Daphnia pulex: one gene and its partners. The protein of the gene in region 3 purifies or fractionates together with the protein of the main gene of each other region. This does not show direct contact. Links are inferred from orthologs where the notes say so. Each region holds a gene or a part of one and is shown on either strand. Other genes may lie near its edges.

Region 1 (2,918 bases), on a different chromosome or scaffold from region 3:
TTTTTTTAGCATGATCGATTTTTTGCAAAATCGATCCAGCAGTTAAAATTAGCCGTTAAGTTATCGGTTAAAGTGTCTTTAACTCTTTCGATTTCCCTTTGAAATCACTACTGACGTGTTGGTATTTCGTACCTACTTCGAAAGAATTTCATTGATTTTGTTTTAAATCATACCTTCTAAACAACCGTTTTACGATTTTCAATACAAACTGATCAAGAAATGGAAAGCAAACGTGACGAATTTCGTCGTTATTTAGAGAAGGCAGGAGTCATGGACGCTCTGACAAAAGTTTTGGTTGGACTCTATGAAGAGCCAGAGAAACCAAATGATGCATTGATGTAACAATGAATTTGATTACTTACACATATAACACTTATTACAATACAGATTTTTCCTCACATAATTAGGTACCTAAAAACCCACCTGAGTGTTGCCCATCCCGATCAGGCTGAACTGGAGTCCATGAGGAATGAATTGCATTTTGCTCGGAGACAAGCTGAGATGTTGAAGTGAGTCGCTATTTAATATTACACAATGATTACAGCCATAGAATACCGAACACATTTTCTATATTAGGGAGGAGAATCAAAGGCTGTCTGCAGAACTTCAAAAGTACTTGGCTGTAGAAAGTTTGAGTAAGGAGGAACCTTCTGAACAAAGTACACCTGATCATGATGAACAGATAAATTGAGGCCACTTCCATCTGTCAAATCACTACCTTCTGTGCCTTGACATTTAACTCATTTATTATGTATTTCATGTTCATTATTAAATAAAAAACTTGATTCTGAAGCAAAATTTTTTATTGTGAACAATTGCAGTAGTTTCCTTTCATGCTAGCTGTAAAGAATTATTATTTAGCATTCAGGGCTTGTCTTCTCTTGACATCCCAATTGTAAAGCCTAGCCATGTTCACTTCAGTTGTTGTCATCTGATCCCTGTATAGATTTTAAAAAACATTTAAAGTTACACTGTTAGGGAAAGCCAAGCCAAACAGAGTAAACTTACCTAAGGAAGTCCAGATCATGATGTACTTGTGCAAGATTCTTCATAGCTGTTTCATGATTTTTTTCCAACAAAGCCTTAGCATCTTCTAAAGTGTATTCCAACATCACATTAGCCTGAAAAATAAACAGAATATTAGTTTGCAATCTTGTATAGTTTAAATGGTATAATTTACCCCTAGCCACAAGCAGACTTTATCTGTGGGTTCAATAACTGCCCTAGAGTACAGAAGGTCTGAGAGTAAAAAGTGAGTTTCAATTTGTTCGTTAGTTTTCCTTTTTGCTTCCAGCACTTGAATCATGTCAAGTGATTTTTGGATGTCTGGAATTTGACTCTTCAACTTCTTTTTGCGTGCCAGAAGGTTAAGCTCCATGAATTTATATTTTCCTGTAACAAAGATTGATAAAATTAACAAGCATGGCAAAGATACATTATGGCTTAATTAAATAACATACCATGTTGTTCGTCTAGTTGCCGCAAAATTGACTCCACCCCTTCACGATCCTTCATGTAAGCGTCTACATCTTCCTGTCACCGGTATAAACTGATATTGCACTGAACGGAAAGAAATTTGACATGGTGTTTTCACAAACGATATTTACCACAAAGGTAGCTTCGGGAATGCCAGCAAAAGACTTTTTTCCGGATAATTTCAGACTATCTTCGATAGGTTCACATGCTGCGGTCGAGGCCATTTTTGGAGATTTTGCTTTTAGAAGACAGAAAAAGGTTTTTTTAGTCTGCAATGTAAAAAGCCGATTTTGTACGGATTGTGTATTATTCACCATAGATGGCGCTGGTGAACCTGTAGAACCAAAAAGAAAACAACTTTTTGAAAGTTTTTGACGTGAGACATGCAAAAACAAAATTAGCTTTTTAATTCGAAATTGTCGATGGATACATTTATTTGAGGTCAGTTCTTATCATCTACTATAGCTGAGCATTAGGAAACTAAACAAATTTGGTTATTAAAGACAAAATGGCTCAACCACCACCAGATCCAGTCCACATTCTGCACAATCCAAGTGGACCAGTCACTGCATTAGCTGCACTAAGACTAAAAGAGGATGGTGAATACAATCTAGTCAGTGGATCAGAGATTGGATTCATAACTATTTGGAATTTAAATGTAGGCTTAAATTGATTTGCTTAAAATTGATTGTCTAATGACGAAACACCTTTTAAATTCAGGTTTATCGACCAACCAAGACCTGGCAAGCTCACAGTGCCACAATTGTGTGGATTGGGGCTTTGGATGACAGACCTGGTTACATAATTTCACATGGAAGAAATGAATCTCTCATCATCTGGAATGCAGAAGGAATCTCAGTTCATCGGATGCTAGTCACTCATGAAGGATTCTGCAAGTGTGACCTTTGGGCCAACATCATAGCCATCCCTGCCAAGAAGAATTCAGTTGAAATCTTCAACATCAGTCAGGAAACGACGTCGCTGGACCGTACCGGCACGCTAACGATCGACGACGACGAAGGAGCATTAATGGCCATTAAATTGTTGGGGAAACAGACGACTGTAGTAACCGCCTATGAAAGTGGATGCATTTGCATCTGGAACGAGAACGTTGTACTCCATCGAACAAGGGTCAAGAGCATGCCGACTTGCTTGGGGCATCATGCTCAGCGTAATGAACTCCTATTAGGAACTTCATGCGAAACATTATACATCTTCAACGTCGACGACCTAACCGAGCTCAAGTCTGTCGTGCTGACCAATCCCGGACTGAACGTCATGGCGCTCCGCCTATCCGACCCGCGTCTCTACGCAACAGCCGGCTGGGACCATCGCATTCGCTTCTTCAGTGCCCGAACTCATAAAAAGCTCTGCGTCCTTCAACTTCACGACGGCCCTGTCAACAGCCTGGTCTTCATCATGGGTCAAAGCGGCGGCGGCGT
Region 2 (3,236 bases), on a different chromosome or scaffold from region 3:
GTGATTAGGGACCGTGTAAAGATGGAGAATGGTTTACGTTAACCGACGACGGAATACTGTCGTGCGAAACGCTTCCAGACGGATGCCTGGCCGACGGACACTACGTATTTTGGAGCCCCGATTATGAAGGATCGAGTGAAGCAAGTGAAAAACAATGTTGGCTGTTGGGGAGCCAAGGACCTTGTTCCGAAAATGAAACGCTAGAGCGTTACGCCACAAATACCGTCGGATGTCAATTAAGAGCATTTAAGATTGGTAGGAGACCTCATCACGGGGGCAACGAAATTGATGAACGGAATCTGGAAGATAAGGAAGCCGAAAGTAGATCCCCATCAGGTAGATCCGTCGCTGTAGCCGGAATGCGTCCTTGTGGTCCCGGTAGCCGCCGAACGCAGACAGGAAAGTGCCGGCCGAATATCGGTTAAGTCACCTTTTTTTTCAAATAATTGTATTTTGTTCTTCTTTGATGAGATCCGTCCGATACAATTAATTCAGGTAATTTGAATATCGGAAAATAATTTGTTTCGTTATTGGTAATTACTTTTTAAAAATCTTGTTTTAGATCAGCATTCCATGGATAACCAACCCATTTTTAATATTGTCAAAGAAGTCAGAAAAACATAATATCGTTTAATGCATTTAGTCTAAATTTTTCGCTTGTTTCTTCATGTAAAATATTTGACACGATACACAAAAATACTTTAAAAAAATGCTATACATTACATATTCAATTCATCCTGAGTTCCTCATTAAAAGTTATTGATTAGACTTGTGCATCCTAGTAATTGATTCTGAAAGTATTCATTGTGTGAATGGTAAGCATAATTGTGCCAGTGCGTTGTGCATAGACTATCGAGTCCTGTTCGTTAAAAAGCAACGTTTTCTTATCGCTTAGTTAAGTTGCAGCTTATAGTGTCCTTATTGGCTGTCAAATTAAAAAAATGTTATTTAGTCTCAGTGTAACAGTAAAAGAGAGCTCTGTCTGGTGTCTAGTCAGATTCCAGTCCGCCCACACAATATCTGTATATCAAGAACCTCTGTATATCGAGATATCGAAAGTGATAAAAGGGAGTTACATCCTGGACTGGCCAGCAGATTTTGATGCTCGGTGACCCCCAGTACATTGATCTTTGCTGTTCTGAAGGATTCCTGCCTTTCCAGTAGCCAATAGGCCATAAGAGTTCAGACTATTCTCTGTGTGTCTCGCAAGATGATTGTAGACGATTGGAAATATATAGCGGTCTTACGTTGCGGCACGTGTCGTGTCACCCGGTATCTGTCGTCTGACTGATTGTGAAGAAATCGTCAACTCATGACGGAAGGTCGGAAAACGCACCACTGTCTGCCCTTTTCATACTCCTGATCGCTCCTGATCTTGATACCGATGAAGTAGAGACTGTCGCCGAGAGGCCGGTTTTTTTCCTCTGGCTCCTTCAACGCTGAATATTTCGCAATCACAATAACAAGGAATCCAATCCGTCTATACTTATTCCTATTTTTTTGCAACTTGAAAAAAGAATTCAAGTCTCAAATTAGAAACAAGATGCATGATTTAAAAAATTTCTCCGTGAATTCTCAATGACTGAAGGCTTTAGAAATATTTCTATAAATAATTGTGACTTCATTTTCAGGTGTTTTTCTCTGAAACCATCTTATAAGAACAGATGCTGTTTAGAAATGCTAAACGCCCAAACCTTTAAATCACGTCGTCTGCTCTTTTACACTGGTGGTGGTGGACATTTCCTTTTAAAGGTACACCCAAAATACTCGAATTTTTGCGGTTCTATATATTTGTATTTCTCGTTAAGTTGATAGATTCCAATCAAGTAACACACCTGTGAAAATGGCTGGTAATGCACAAAAAGATAAAGCCCAAGGAGGAGATAATATGCAGAAAATAGACTTGACCACTTTGACACTTCCACAGCTGTCTCAGTTAAAGCAGCAACTTGAACAAGTCATTATTTCATTATTTTATTTTATAGAATTATTTATAACTGCTTTCTTTCATTTTTGACTGTATAGGATTTAAGCCTGTACCAAGATTCTCTTCAGACTTTGAAAATTGCACAGACAAAATTTCAAGAATCAGCTGAAAGTGCTGAGAAACTAGAATCTACCCAGGAAGGTGCACCTATACTTGTTCCACTCACAGGATCTGTAAGCTAGATTAAAGTAATTGTACATATGATTTCTTGGTATAAGACCTTATATTTGATAGATGTATGTGCCTGGAAAAATCAGTAAACCAGAACAACCTTTGATTGATATTGGAACCGGTTACTATGCAGAGAATGTAAGTGCTGATAATCTTGTCAAAAGATTGAAATGGTTACTAAGTTTTATTGTTTAATGTTCAGACAATTGAACAAGCTAAGAGTTATTTCAGACGTAAAGTAAAGTTTGTTACTGAACAAATGGAGAAAGTACAGATGCTTGGTATTGAAAAGAGTCAAGTCAGAGATGGTAATTTACTTTGATATTATTTTTAATTTTCTCTATGTACTAAAGATTTTTTTACTGCAGCTGTTGCTGAAGTGATGGATTTGAAAGTACAAGCCCAAGTTGCCGCCAACCCTCAGGCTGCAGTTCGCGCTTAAACAGACCATCCGTACAGTATAATAAATGAATAATAAAATTTCATCATCAACAAATTGACATTTTCATTGCTTTAATTTTTTATTTCGATTCGTAATGAAGCTGCTGAGTCTCAAACAGTTAAACTTGCACTGTTAATAACATGGAGGAGTACAAAAAGGGAGATTTCCAATAGAAAAAACGATTTTGTGCATCGTTGTACCTGCCCGGTCGCAGATAAACTTGATGGCCATTGAACATACGCAACAACAGCGAAGTTAACACACAAAAAGTAGTTAAAAAAAATTGCCAAACCGAACATTGGAAATGGGACAAAAAAATTTAGGAATTCAGGTCTACACGGGGACTAGACAGCACATTTTTTCGCCTTGACAGAAAAAAATTATCAATTGTTACACTTTAAATTTCTCACTTTTGAAGCGGTGCAACATTAGTCCAGACCAGCGGATTTAGTCTATGTCAGAGCTTTTAACTAGAAGGTTGAGCATTATTAGCATTAGATATTTCGTCAGAAGAGGATTGATACACTTCCAACATCATGTTGCGCACTCGCTCCATTAACTCAGGTAAATCTTCCATTGTCATGCCTTTAGTAGACACTGGTGGTAATACGGTCATTACAATTTCACCTGGGTCAA
Region 3 (3,010 bases):
ACAGCTCTTCTTTCACTAGTTCACCCCTGAAATTAACTAAGAAGATCCAATGAAGTCTGATATGTCTAAACTATAAACAGCAATTTAGACCAAAACTATTAAATTTACTACAAAGTTGTGAAGACTAATAGATCACAGGTGTAAATAAAATTCCTATCATGTTCAAACTGTTCAAATTGTGCACACACACAACAAGAAAATAAAACAATTTTTTTTACAATGAAGTCGATGGAGTCATCGAACATCGACGTCATGTTTGCTTTATAACATCTTTTAAAATTAATTTCATTTCATTCCTACCTTTTGATGCCAGTCAGCATCCTTAGAAAATAAGATTTATTCAAGGCCAAAAATTGAAAACGAAAGGTCTCTTAAACCCAACTTGTTGTTGATCACTGTTTTTACTCTCACTTCAGCTCTTTCTGTGTTATTGAAGTTTTTCTCCAAGGTCAGCAGACGACTTTTGCCTTGGCCATCTATTATGTAAAAATCTAACCACGTAGTATTTTAAGCAGTTTATTTTGGTTTCCCCATAAAAATCGATGGAAACGAACAAAAAAAGCATAGACAAGTATCCAAGTAGGCAAAAAAACATTTAATCTTCAATGTTGATCCCCAGTGTTAGCATCTTTTCTTTGTTGGATCATTTCTCTAATGTTGTTCTCACTTTCTTTCAAGCTGCGCTCCAAGTATGCTTTAGTTCCCTTTTTAATTGAACAGAAATTAGAAAAAAATGTAAACAAAAATGCACAATTAAATTTAATGTAAATCTAACCTCAAGTGTTTTCACTTTCTCCTCACAGCCTTTGATTTTGTTCTCAAGGTTCGTTCGTGCTACAGTTACTTCTTTTAATACAAACATACGACCCACACTTTCATACGTTTTGGTATCAGTTGGAAGTTGACTTATTTCTTTGTCAGTTAGTTGTGCATGTGTCATACTTCTTTTGAGCGTCTCGATCTGTAGATCAGCTAATTTGAGCTTTTGAGACGTCTCGACCATTTTTTGCTGTAGTTCAGCAAATGCCTGAAAACAGTCATAATGGAATGAATATGTGATGTCAAAATAAGACAAAAATACTAAAAATAATAACCTTTTTGAGTTCAAGATCCATCTGTCCTTGTTTTGCCATTTTTTAAATATTATTACGGGTCAATGAATTACAACCGGCAGGACTATAAAAGTGACACCAGCAGAAGACAATTTTGGAATTTGGGAGGAGAGCATGACTAAACTAAACAGAGTCCACACATTTTATAAAAATCGCTATGAAAGTATTAATGTCTAAAATTTTATTTAAATTAAGTTTTAATTGTTTTAATTTTTGAACTGATTAATGTTTATTTTGATAATCATTATAAACGATCGAAAATTTTGTAAGCCACCAAGGGGAAGTGAAATGACGTCATAGTTTGGTTGTTTAGTGCTGATAACTTTGCAGACGACTATCCTGAATCGAACACGAATTGACGAACAATCGCCTTGAAGATTGAAGTGCGAAGTGTTTGAAAATAATGTCTGCAGGAGCTCTTTGTGAAACCCCAGGTTGTGACCAAGAAGCCCGGTTACAATGCCCGACTTGCATTAAACTGGGCATTAAAGGATCGTTCTTTTGTACACAAGAATGTTTCAAAAAAAACTGGAATGTGCATAAGAGTGTCCACAAGAAAGAAACAGTGACAGAGCCCGTCGCGTACAATCCTTGGCCTGGTTTCCCGTTTACCGGTATGTGAAATTATTTTGTGTTGGGATATTATCTCTATCTATAGTTTTTTTTTTAGGTACTTTACGTCCATATCCTCAGACCCCCAAACGCACCATCCCTACACACATTGCTAGACCAGATTATGCTGATCATCCTGAAGGACATCCACTTGGAGAACAGTCTGCTAGAGGAAGTTCCTATATTAAGGCTTTAAGTGATGAAGAGAAAGAAGGAATGAGAGTTGTCAGCAAGGTAATCAATTGTTGCCCATTATGAAATTTGCAATTGACTAATATTATTTACAGCTTGGTAGAGAAATCTTGGAAGAAGCAGCAAATGCTGTGGCCGTAGGGGTCACAACAGATGAGATTGATAGGATTGTCCATGAAGCCTGCATTGAGCGGGAGTGCTATCCATCACCATTAAATTATTATGAATTCCCAAAATCCTGTTGCACTTCTATCAATGAGGTTATCTGCCATGGTATCCCTGATAAGAGACCCATGCAAAATGGGGATATATGCAACAGTAATAATAATTCATTTGTTAAAAATGTTTGTGTTATCCTTGTTTATTAAAAAGATTTTATTCATTAGTTGATGTAACGGCTTACCACCGAGGATTTCATGGTGACCTGAATGAAACCTTATTCGTTGGTCAGGTTAGCGAGTCTGCCAAGAGGCTAGTGCAAGTCACATGGGAATGTCTAGAAAAAGCGATCGAAATAGGTTTGTAAGCTTCGCGCTTTCAGTTATTTGTTTACCGATAAACTCTTCATGCGTCATTTTTTTCCCTCATTCTCTATAGTGAAGCCAGGTGTTAAGTATCGCGATGTTGGGGCTGTTATTCAAAAACACGCCCAAAGCCATGGATTTTCAGTTGTTAGGAGTTATTGCGGACATGGTATTCACCAGCTTTTCCACACAGCACCTAATATTCCTCACTATGCAAGTACGTGACTTTCATTGCTCCCTACACTACTCATCTGTTAAACTTGATCAGTAACTTACGTACGTTTTCACAGAGAATAAAGCCGTTGGAATCATGAAGCCTGGTCACTGTTTCACAATTGAGCCAATGATATCTGAAGGTAAATGGTCTAATGTACTTGCCTACCGTTTCAGAATCAAAACTTTTGCATTTATCACAAGAAACTAATACTACTCAATTTTAATGTTACTTAGGTGTATGGAAAGATGAGCAATGGCCGGACAATTGGACGGCGGTTACCCAAGACGGTAAACTATCTGCGCAATTCGAACATACAATGCTCGTGACCGAAACAGGTGTCGAAGTGTTAACTC
Region 4 (3,024 bases), on a different chromosome or scaffold from region 3:
GAGAGGATAGGCTCACTCTAAAAGAAACGATGACTGTAAGAAGTTGTCTTGTTCACTAATTCAGTTTCTTTAAGAAAGTCCCGGTAAAAAAAAAAATAATAATAAAATCCTTGGTTGGCTGGCTTAATCTATTTAGATAGTAAGCCGCGAGCAGACAAAGAAAGAGAGCAAACTTACGATGAGAATTTAACCTGACATCGAGACCAATTCCCACACATCGTCGTCGAATCGTTTTGGTGTATACTGCATAAGTAGACTGTCTAGACCAACTTTTCACCTAGAAAATAAATTAAATATTTTGATCACCATTGTTTACTTATCTGTAAAACAAATTTTACGGAGAACTGCGCCAAAGCAATTTTGTGGGGAACACTTTTGACTTTTCAAATATTACACACAAACTAAACAGTTCGCAGCAGCAAAAATTATTGGTTTAAAATCCGGTGTGATCTCAAATCCATATGATTTTATAGCGTTGTCGCTCTTCGGAGAAACCAGAGATAAACTAAGTTATTGTGCATTCAATAGAAATCTAATAGAATAATTCCTGCTAGTAATTCATAAATACATCAAAAGTTAGAATAGCTAAGCTTCTTAAAAGCTTTCTTGGTAAATCACACAGATTGTTTAGTACTCTAACCTTCCATTAGGATAGTAGAGCAGATGAAAGTATTAGATTCATAAAAATAAGCAAAAGCAAAACATATGTTTTCTGATTTTTCTTCAGCAGCAGAGCATACAAAACAAGGTATATCAGTTAAGGTTTGGTGCCCACCAAAACCCCCTGATTGGCAACTTTATTTTCTCCTTCATTATCAGGAGCTGTAGATGGGAGTTCATTTTGATTTCGTATCCTGATATTATTCTTTTCCTTGAAGTCATTAATTTCTTGTCCCTTGGTGGAAATTTGATTATTGAGAACTTCAATTACTTTAGTCATCTATATAAAAAATAAATTGTAATTAAAATTACAACCAAATAATACAATATGAAAACAAGTTACCTGGTCCCTGTTTGATGTCAGTGCAGGCAGAACTTCTTTGACAGTTCGTTCAACTAGTACTCCACCAACCATGCGAAAGCACTTCCTGTCTTCATCCACATTTTGAAGGGTTTCTATTACTAGTCTGAGTAAGAAAAAAAATATGACATAGTTAATAGTAGGAGTAAATTATCCTCTACACGCTATGGAAGTCTGTTTATAAAGTGAAACCGGTAAAACTTACTTGTGCTCGTTTAGATCCATTTCGAGCTCAGATAATTTACTAGCTAGTTGTCTCTGTTCAGTTCGTAATCTTTGAAATCCTTGGATGACTTCTTCATTCGATTTGCTAACATTTTTCGGAGCATTTTTAGCTTGCTTTTTGCTTCCGTCAGTCGCCATTTTTTACGTATCAAAAGCACTAAGCAGCAGACAAACTTCAGGCTATTCTACTTCCTACCCTCCTAGTTCCTATTTGAGACTAGCGGTAGAATGTAGCGAAGTCGACGATCGACGATTGTCGAAATTGACTTAGGCCTATTTGCAGATTGCAGAGCACCGAGAACAATAATCGTCTTAATGATAATGAAATAATTTAATAATAAATTAGTCTTAGACACGAAGACGAAGTCTATAGAAAATCTGAGAAAAACGACAAACGGAGGAGGCGAAAATATTTCCATAATACCATCATACCGGCAACGCCGGTTGTTCTGCCGTTTGAATATTTTCCCATTTGTCCAAAACCGTCCAGTAGCAGCAGCACCGTAGTAGACCACGGTTTAGGGTTTTAGAGTTTAGAAGTTTAGACATTGGTATACAGGTATATACAATTACAACACATTTTGAAAATTTAGACCAATCTAAACGTTTTTTACGAAAATGTAAGTGAATAAGTAAGTTTGAACTTCGTGTTTTTGTAAATGTTTCATGTTTTGATTTTGAAATTGACAGATAACATGGAAACCAAGCAGCCACTTAAAGAGAACTCTTCAAACCAACCTACTGTTAAGTTGGAAAACTCAAAGTATGTTAGAATTTTTTGTTTTTCAGAATCCAACAAAGTGTTTCTCATTTATCTTCTTGACTTAAATATTTTAATTGTGGCATTAATCTTCCAAATCATGTGTGTTTCTCTGCTTGTTTGTTTCAACCCAGATGGAGTCTTGATAACTTCGAAATTGGCCGTCCTCTTGGTAAAGGGAAGTTTGGAAATGTGTACTTGGCTAGAGAAATCAATACCAAATACATTGTAGCCCTGAAGGTTTTGTTTAAATCTCAACTACAAAAATGTCAGATGGAACACCAGTTGAGACGTGAAATTGAAATCCAGTCACATTTACGGTACATACTAATGAGATCACATGTTTTATGGAAAATTTATATCACTAATGCACATCAACCTTTTCTGCGACTCTACTGTAGACATCCCAATGTTTTACGCATGCACGGATATTTTTATGATGAAACTCGTATTTACCTCATCTTGGAATTCGCCGCAAATGGAGAAATGTACAAGTACCTGAAACGCCAACCCAATGGCCGTTTTTCTGAACCACAGTAAATTTTTTAAAATAACAGAAACATAAGTTCTGTGGAAAATAATTTACCCCTATTTTTAGGACGGCCAATTACATGGCTCAGCTAGCTGATGCATTGATATACTGTCACGCGCGGAAAGTAATCCACCGAGATATTAAGCCAGAAAATCTTTTACTAGGATTTCATGGAGAAATTAAAATAGCCGATTTTGGTTGGTCCGTCCATGCTCCTTCGTCTAGGTAAAGTAAAATATGATTGTTTAGTGTAGAACCAAACAAATCGAAGTTATTTATGTTATATTGTTTTTGTTCAATAGGCGTACAACCATGTGCGGGACATTGGATTATTTAGCCCCCGAAATGGTAGAAGGGCGCTCTCACGACGAACGTGTAGATTTGTGGACTCTTGGTATTCTTTGCTACGAATTCTTAGTGGGATCACCTCCTTTTGAAGAGGAAAAGCAAGATCTCACTTACCGCCGTATTTGCAAGTATTAATTT
Region 5 (2,969 bases), on a different chromosome or scaffold from region 3:
CAATAACGGGAAGGGAGGACTTTATGAACGTGCACGATCCGGATGATGAAAAACCGGCCATGTGATGGACAGCCGAGAAAACTAAGTCACTGGGTCAGTCAAGTGACAATTTCCGATTGGTATTCTTCTGAACCTATTGGGTAGTATCAACGATAGTCCTCTCTGCAGGTCGTGTCCAAATGAGGTTAACACGGACGAATACATAAGCAATAACAATCGATTATTTTACGAGGTCGTGGAGCTCGAGACTGAGAGAGAAAGGCTGGAAAACCGTCCGGTGAATGGCCTCTACGAAACTAAAGAGGTACCGAGTGGTAGCCAGATGCAGAGGCGTCGTTGCGGAGGTGCAAGTCAAGCGTTACATTTTCTTCGCAGATATTTTTAGTGTTAGGGAAACTAGCTAAAAATACTTTCTTTAGCTTTGTTGTTTACTTTTCTCTTTGTGGCTTGAGAGACAATTTGTTTCTGTCAGTGCTATCAAAGACTGTTTTTTTCTTTTTTGTATTGTTCTTCATTATTATAGTGGAGAAAGCATTTTGGACGTTTTCTTTATTCCTCTTCGGCTTCTAGGTTGATAGAATTACCGAATTTGGCGTACAATTGCGTCTTCAGATCGCTCATCAAAGTCTTGATGTTTGTGCATTCAGCTTCGATGGCTTCAATATCTTTTTTCACTTTGTCTTTTGCTTCTTCAAGTTTCTCCTGTGATAAGTCAAACAATTAGCGATAAGCAGTACTTTAACAGCGATGCACAATTGACAGAAGAGGAAAAAAGAAAATCACCTTTGCCTCTTCCATGTTGAAATGAACAAACACTTCACCTACAACGAAAGGAATTGGAGCTGATTCATCATCAACCAAGAGTAAATCATCTGAAGCATCCTCCAAGTTTTGAAGATCTCCCTGAACAAAGCATAGAGAAAACGAGTAGCAATGCAGAATTGTAAGTTTCAACGTGAATCATGAGCAGAATGCGAAAATATTTCTGCCAGCACATTTATGACACATAATAATTTTGAAGACTTCACACACATTACGAAAAGAAGCATGCAATAGAAAGAATTTCACCTTTTTATTTTTCAGATCATCCCTGAGCTCCTCCCATTTTGCATTGTGTCGTGCAAACCGGTTGATTTTCTGTTGGTCTTCCAATGTAATGTGAATGTCAGAGTCCTAAAATAATTTCAGTTACTTTAACTACTAGAAATTGGCAACACGTTAAGCTATAAATTCTTAAGTCAAATCATTTTCTTACCGATTCAAGAGAATCTTTAGAAACTGCTACTGAGGCCATGATGTTTTTCTTGACAACCCCTACGTAGCAGACGACGCCTATTTATCGATTATTTCAATCGATAATGATATGCTGGTTGCCATTATTCAAATTACTATTCTTTTTAGGATTTTTATTTTACTGGATTTAACAAGCAATTTCTTTATGGCACATTTCGTTTTTATTACTTCAATACTACGGCATTATTACTTCAAGAAAAATCGTCTTTATCCCAGGTGCATTGACCACTGGGAAAGTGAAAGGGCTATTATATTCCCTATTAAGTAAGGCCTACACGGCTTTCATAATTGTTAGCTTGCTCCATAAAATGTGTTTGTGTAAATTCACGCGCTTAAAGAGAAATTTTCTTCGGGTTTCTATCTTATTATTACGATACTTACTAGAAAATTATAATGAATCCTGATGGGTTCTCGGATTTTCGAAAAAGATGTCAAGCAAAAACATGTTGCAATGCTCATGAAGAAAGTCGTGCACGTGAAAGTAATATTATGGAAATCTGAAAAAAAAAATGTAATAAATAACGAAGATGTCTTCTATTTGTTTTTGAGAGCTTTTCTTTTTACAATAAAAGCAATATGAACACGTCTAAGTAAGCGGTTTTCTTTGTGGCGAACTTGCCATATTATATGCAGTTGCCCTGCAGATCGATAGCAAAACAAACAGAACGCAATAGAGACGAAATAGTTTCACATGTTTTAACCAATCATATCAATCTCCCCTTTGTGCGTCAGAGCCCGCAATAACTGAGAAGACGAGTTTTATCAACTTATGGAACAACAACTGTTTGATTATTAAATATTTCCTGGCGAATTCCATCACGCTATACGATTCACGAAAGCCACTTGAAATGTACGTTTTAGACAGAAGGCATCCGTCCTCCTGTTTCGCTTCATTCACATATCTCAACGTGTTTCTCTGTCGTTTTTTTATAGACCTTTATGTTCACCGAACAATCGACAACAGCTGCAGAGGTGGGTTTTGCGCGTTGACAAGTAATTTCCTCATCAAAGTGTCGTTTACACTCGGTTGTGCGGTAGCCTGTTATACCAGCGCACTTTACTTAATGCGGTCAAGCAACCCGAGCGTCCCTCTCATCCGTAAAAACAGCCGTGAATACCGAGTTGCTTAACCTAGTTAGCGTCAGTGCGCAGTACGTACAAAGAAGAAGAAAGCGTGATAAATGGTCTTGTTAAAGAGTAGGACGTATTGTGGGTTCGTGTTGATACATTAATACCTCATTTCGCCGCCATTAGATCCGCACATCATTTCTAAAACGTTTCTACTTTCTGTGAATTCATTTAAATGATGAACTTTAACTTGGCAAATGCGTAATAAGTTGGGTAATTTAAAGCTCTTTGAAAATGATGCATAACTTTATTTTTATCAAAGTTTTTCAAATAGAATAAATATAAAGAAAAGGCTTTTTATGGCTGGTATATGCCAGCAGTGAAATGGGAGAAAGCCGCGCGAGATCCTTTTTTTTGTTTATGGCGTAAATCTAAATGGAGAAAACAAGACTGGTCTGACAAGAAGGAATTGACAGGAGGAAGATTTAAAGTTTCCAAGCTGACTTAATAGGATCCCCGAATAAAAAGAGAAAAGATATAATTACGCACATACACTTGAAGATATTGTGATTATGCAAATGTACAAGAGTATATGCTTGCTAATTAAT

What was found.
Region 1: the proteins of prefoldin subunit 1-like (region 3) and prefoldin subunit 3-like purify together in Homo sapiens (affinity purification with mass spectrometry; 4 studies listed by BioGRID and IntAct, counting the BioPlex papers as one, with this or other methods). This does not show direct contact. The link is inferred for Daphnia pulex from reciprocal best matches to the Homo sapiens genes PFDN1 and VBP1.
Region 2: the proteins of prefoldin subunit 1-like (region 3) and prefoldin subunit 5-like purify together in Homo sapiens (affinity purification with mass spectrometry; 7 studies listed by BioGRID and IntAct, with this or other methods). This does not show direct contact. The link is inferred for Daphnia pulex from reciprocal best matches to the Homo sapiens genes PFDN1 and PFDN5.
Region 4: the proteins of prefoldin subunit 1-like (region 3) and prefoldin subunit 2-like purify together in Homo sapiens (affinity purification with mass spectrometry; 5 studies listed by BioGRID and IntAct, counting the BioPlex papers as one, with this or other methods). This does not show direct contact. The link is inferred for Daphnia pulex from reciprocal best matches to the Homo sapiens genes PFDN1 and PFDN2.
Region 5: the proteins of prefoldin subunit 1-like (region 3) and prefoldin subunit 4-like purify together in Homo sapiens (affinity purification with mass spectrometry; 5 studies listed by BioGRID and IntAct, counting the BioPlex papers as one, with this or other methods). This does not show direct contact. The link is inferred for Daphnia pulex from reciprocal best matches to the Homo sapiens genes PFDN1 and PFDN4.

Annotation. Positions count from the first base shown.
Region 1 is NC_060028.1:10,585,011-10,587,928, reverse strand, and holds prefoldin subunit 3-like, read right to left. Parts: upstream 1,771-2,918; 5' UTR 1,701-1,770; coding exon 1,608-1,700; intron 1,534-1,607; coding exon 1,461-1,533; intron 1,393-1,460; coding exon 1,181-1,392; intron 1,122-1,180; coding exon 1,009-1,121; intron 939-1,008; coding exon 854-938; 3' UTR 786-853; downstream 1-785. Other genes in the region: c-Myc-binding protein-like, read left to right, coding at 220-338, 408-509, 577-691; guanine nucleotide-binding protein subunit beta-like protein 1, read left to right, coding at 1,985-2,134, 2,197-2,918. UniProt on the Homo sapiens protein: Binds specifically to cytosolic chaperonin (c-CPN) and transfers target proteins to it. Binds to nascent polypeptide chain and promotes folding in an environment in which there are many competing pathways for nonnative proteins.
Region 2 is NC_060023.1:2,200,076-2,203,311, forward strand, and holds prefoldin subunit 5-like, read left to right. Parts: upstream 1-1,602; 5' UTR 1,603-1,752; intron 1,753-1,808; 5' UTR 1,809-1,843; coding exon 1,844-1,957; intron 1,958-2,025; coding exon 2,026-2,160; intron 2,161-2,221; coding exon 2,222-2,296; intron 2,297-2,360; coding exon 2,361-2,466; intron 2,467-2,526; coding exon 2,527-2,600; 3' UTR 2,601-2,654; downstream 2,655-3,236. Other genes in the region: 1-acyl-sn-glycerol-3-phosphate acyltransferase alpha-like, read right to left, coding at 3,067-3,236. UniProt on the Homo sapiens protein: Binds specifically to cytosolic chaperonin (c-CPN) and transfers target proteins to it. Binds to nascent polypeptide chain and promotes folding in an environment in which there are many competing pathways for nonnative proteins.
Region 3 is NC_060021.1:7,365,462-7,368,471, reverse strand, and holds prefoldin subunit 1-like, read right to left. Parts: upstream 1,246-3,010; 5' UTR 1,134-1,245; coding exon 1,095-1,133; intron 1,028-1,094; coding exon 776-1,027; intron 705-775; coding exon 603-704; 3' UTR 501-602; downstream 1-500. Other genes in the region: methionine aminopeptidase 1-like, read left to right, coding at 1,516-1,726, 1,783-1,958, 2,012-2,234, 2,303-2,434, 2,514-2,657, 2,731-2,796, 2,891-3,010. UniProt on the Homo sapiens protein: Binds specifically to cytosolic chaperonin (c-CPN) and transfers target proteins to it. Binds to nascent polypeptide chain and promotes folding in an environment in which there are many competing pathways for nonnative proteins.
Region 4 is NC_060024.1:9,271,661-9,274,684, forward strand, and holds prefoldin subunit 2-like, read right to left. Parts: upstream 1,472-3,024; 5' UTR 1,385-1,471; coding exon 1,227-1,384; intron 1,128-1,226; coding exon 1,004-1,127; intron 941-1,003; coding exon 758-940; 3' UTR 705-757; downstream 1-704. Other genes in the region: aurora kinase-like, read left to right, coding at 1,942-2,009, 2,141-2,326, 2,408-2,542, 2,605-2,763, 2,841-3,014. UniProt on the Homo sapiens protein: Binds specifically to cytosolic chaperonin (c-CPN) and transfers target proteins to it. Binds to nascent polypeptide chain and promotes folding in an environment in which there are many competing pathways for nonnative proteins.
Region 5 is NC_060022.1:3,651,643-3,654,611, reverse strand, and holds prefoldin subunit 4-like, read right to left. Parts: upstream 1,409-2,969; 5' UTR 1,295-1,408; coding exon 1,256-1,294; intron 1,174-1,255; coding exon 1,069-1,173; intron 904-1,068; coding exon 754-903; intron 703-753; coding exon 550-702; downstream 1-549. UniProt on the Homo sapiens protein: Binds specifically to cytosolic chaperonin (c-CPN) and transfers target proteins to it. Binds to nascent polypeptide chain and promotes folding in an environment in which there are many competing pathways for nonnative proteins.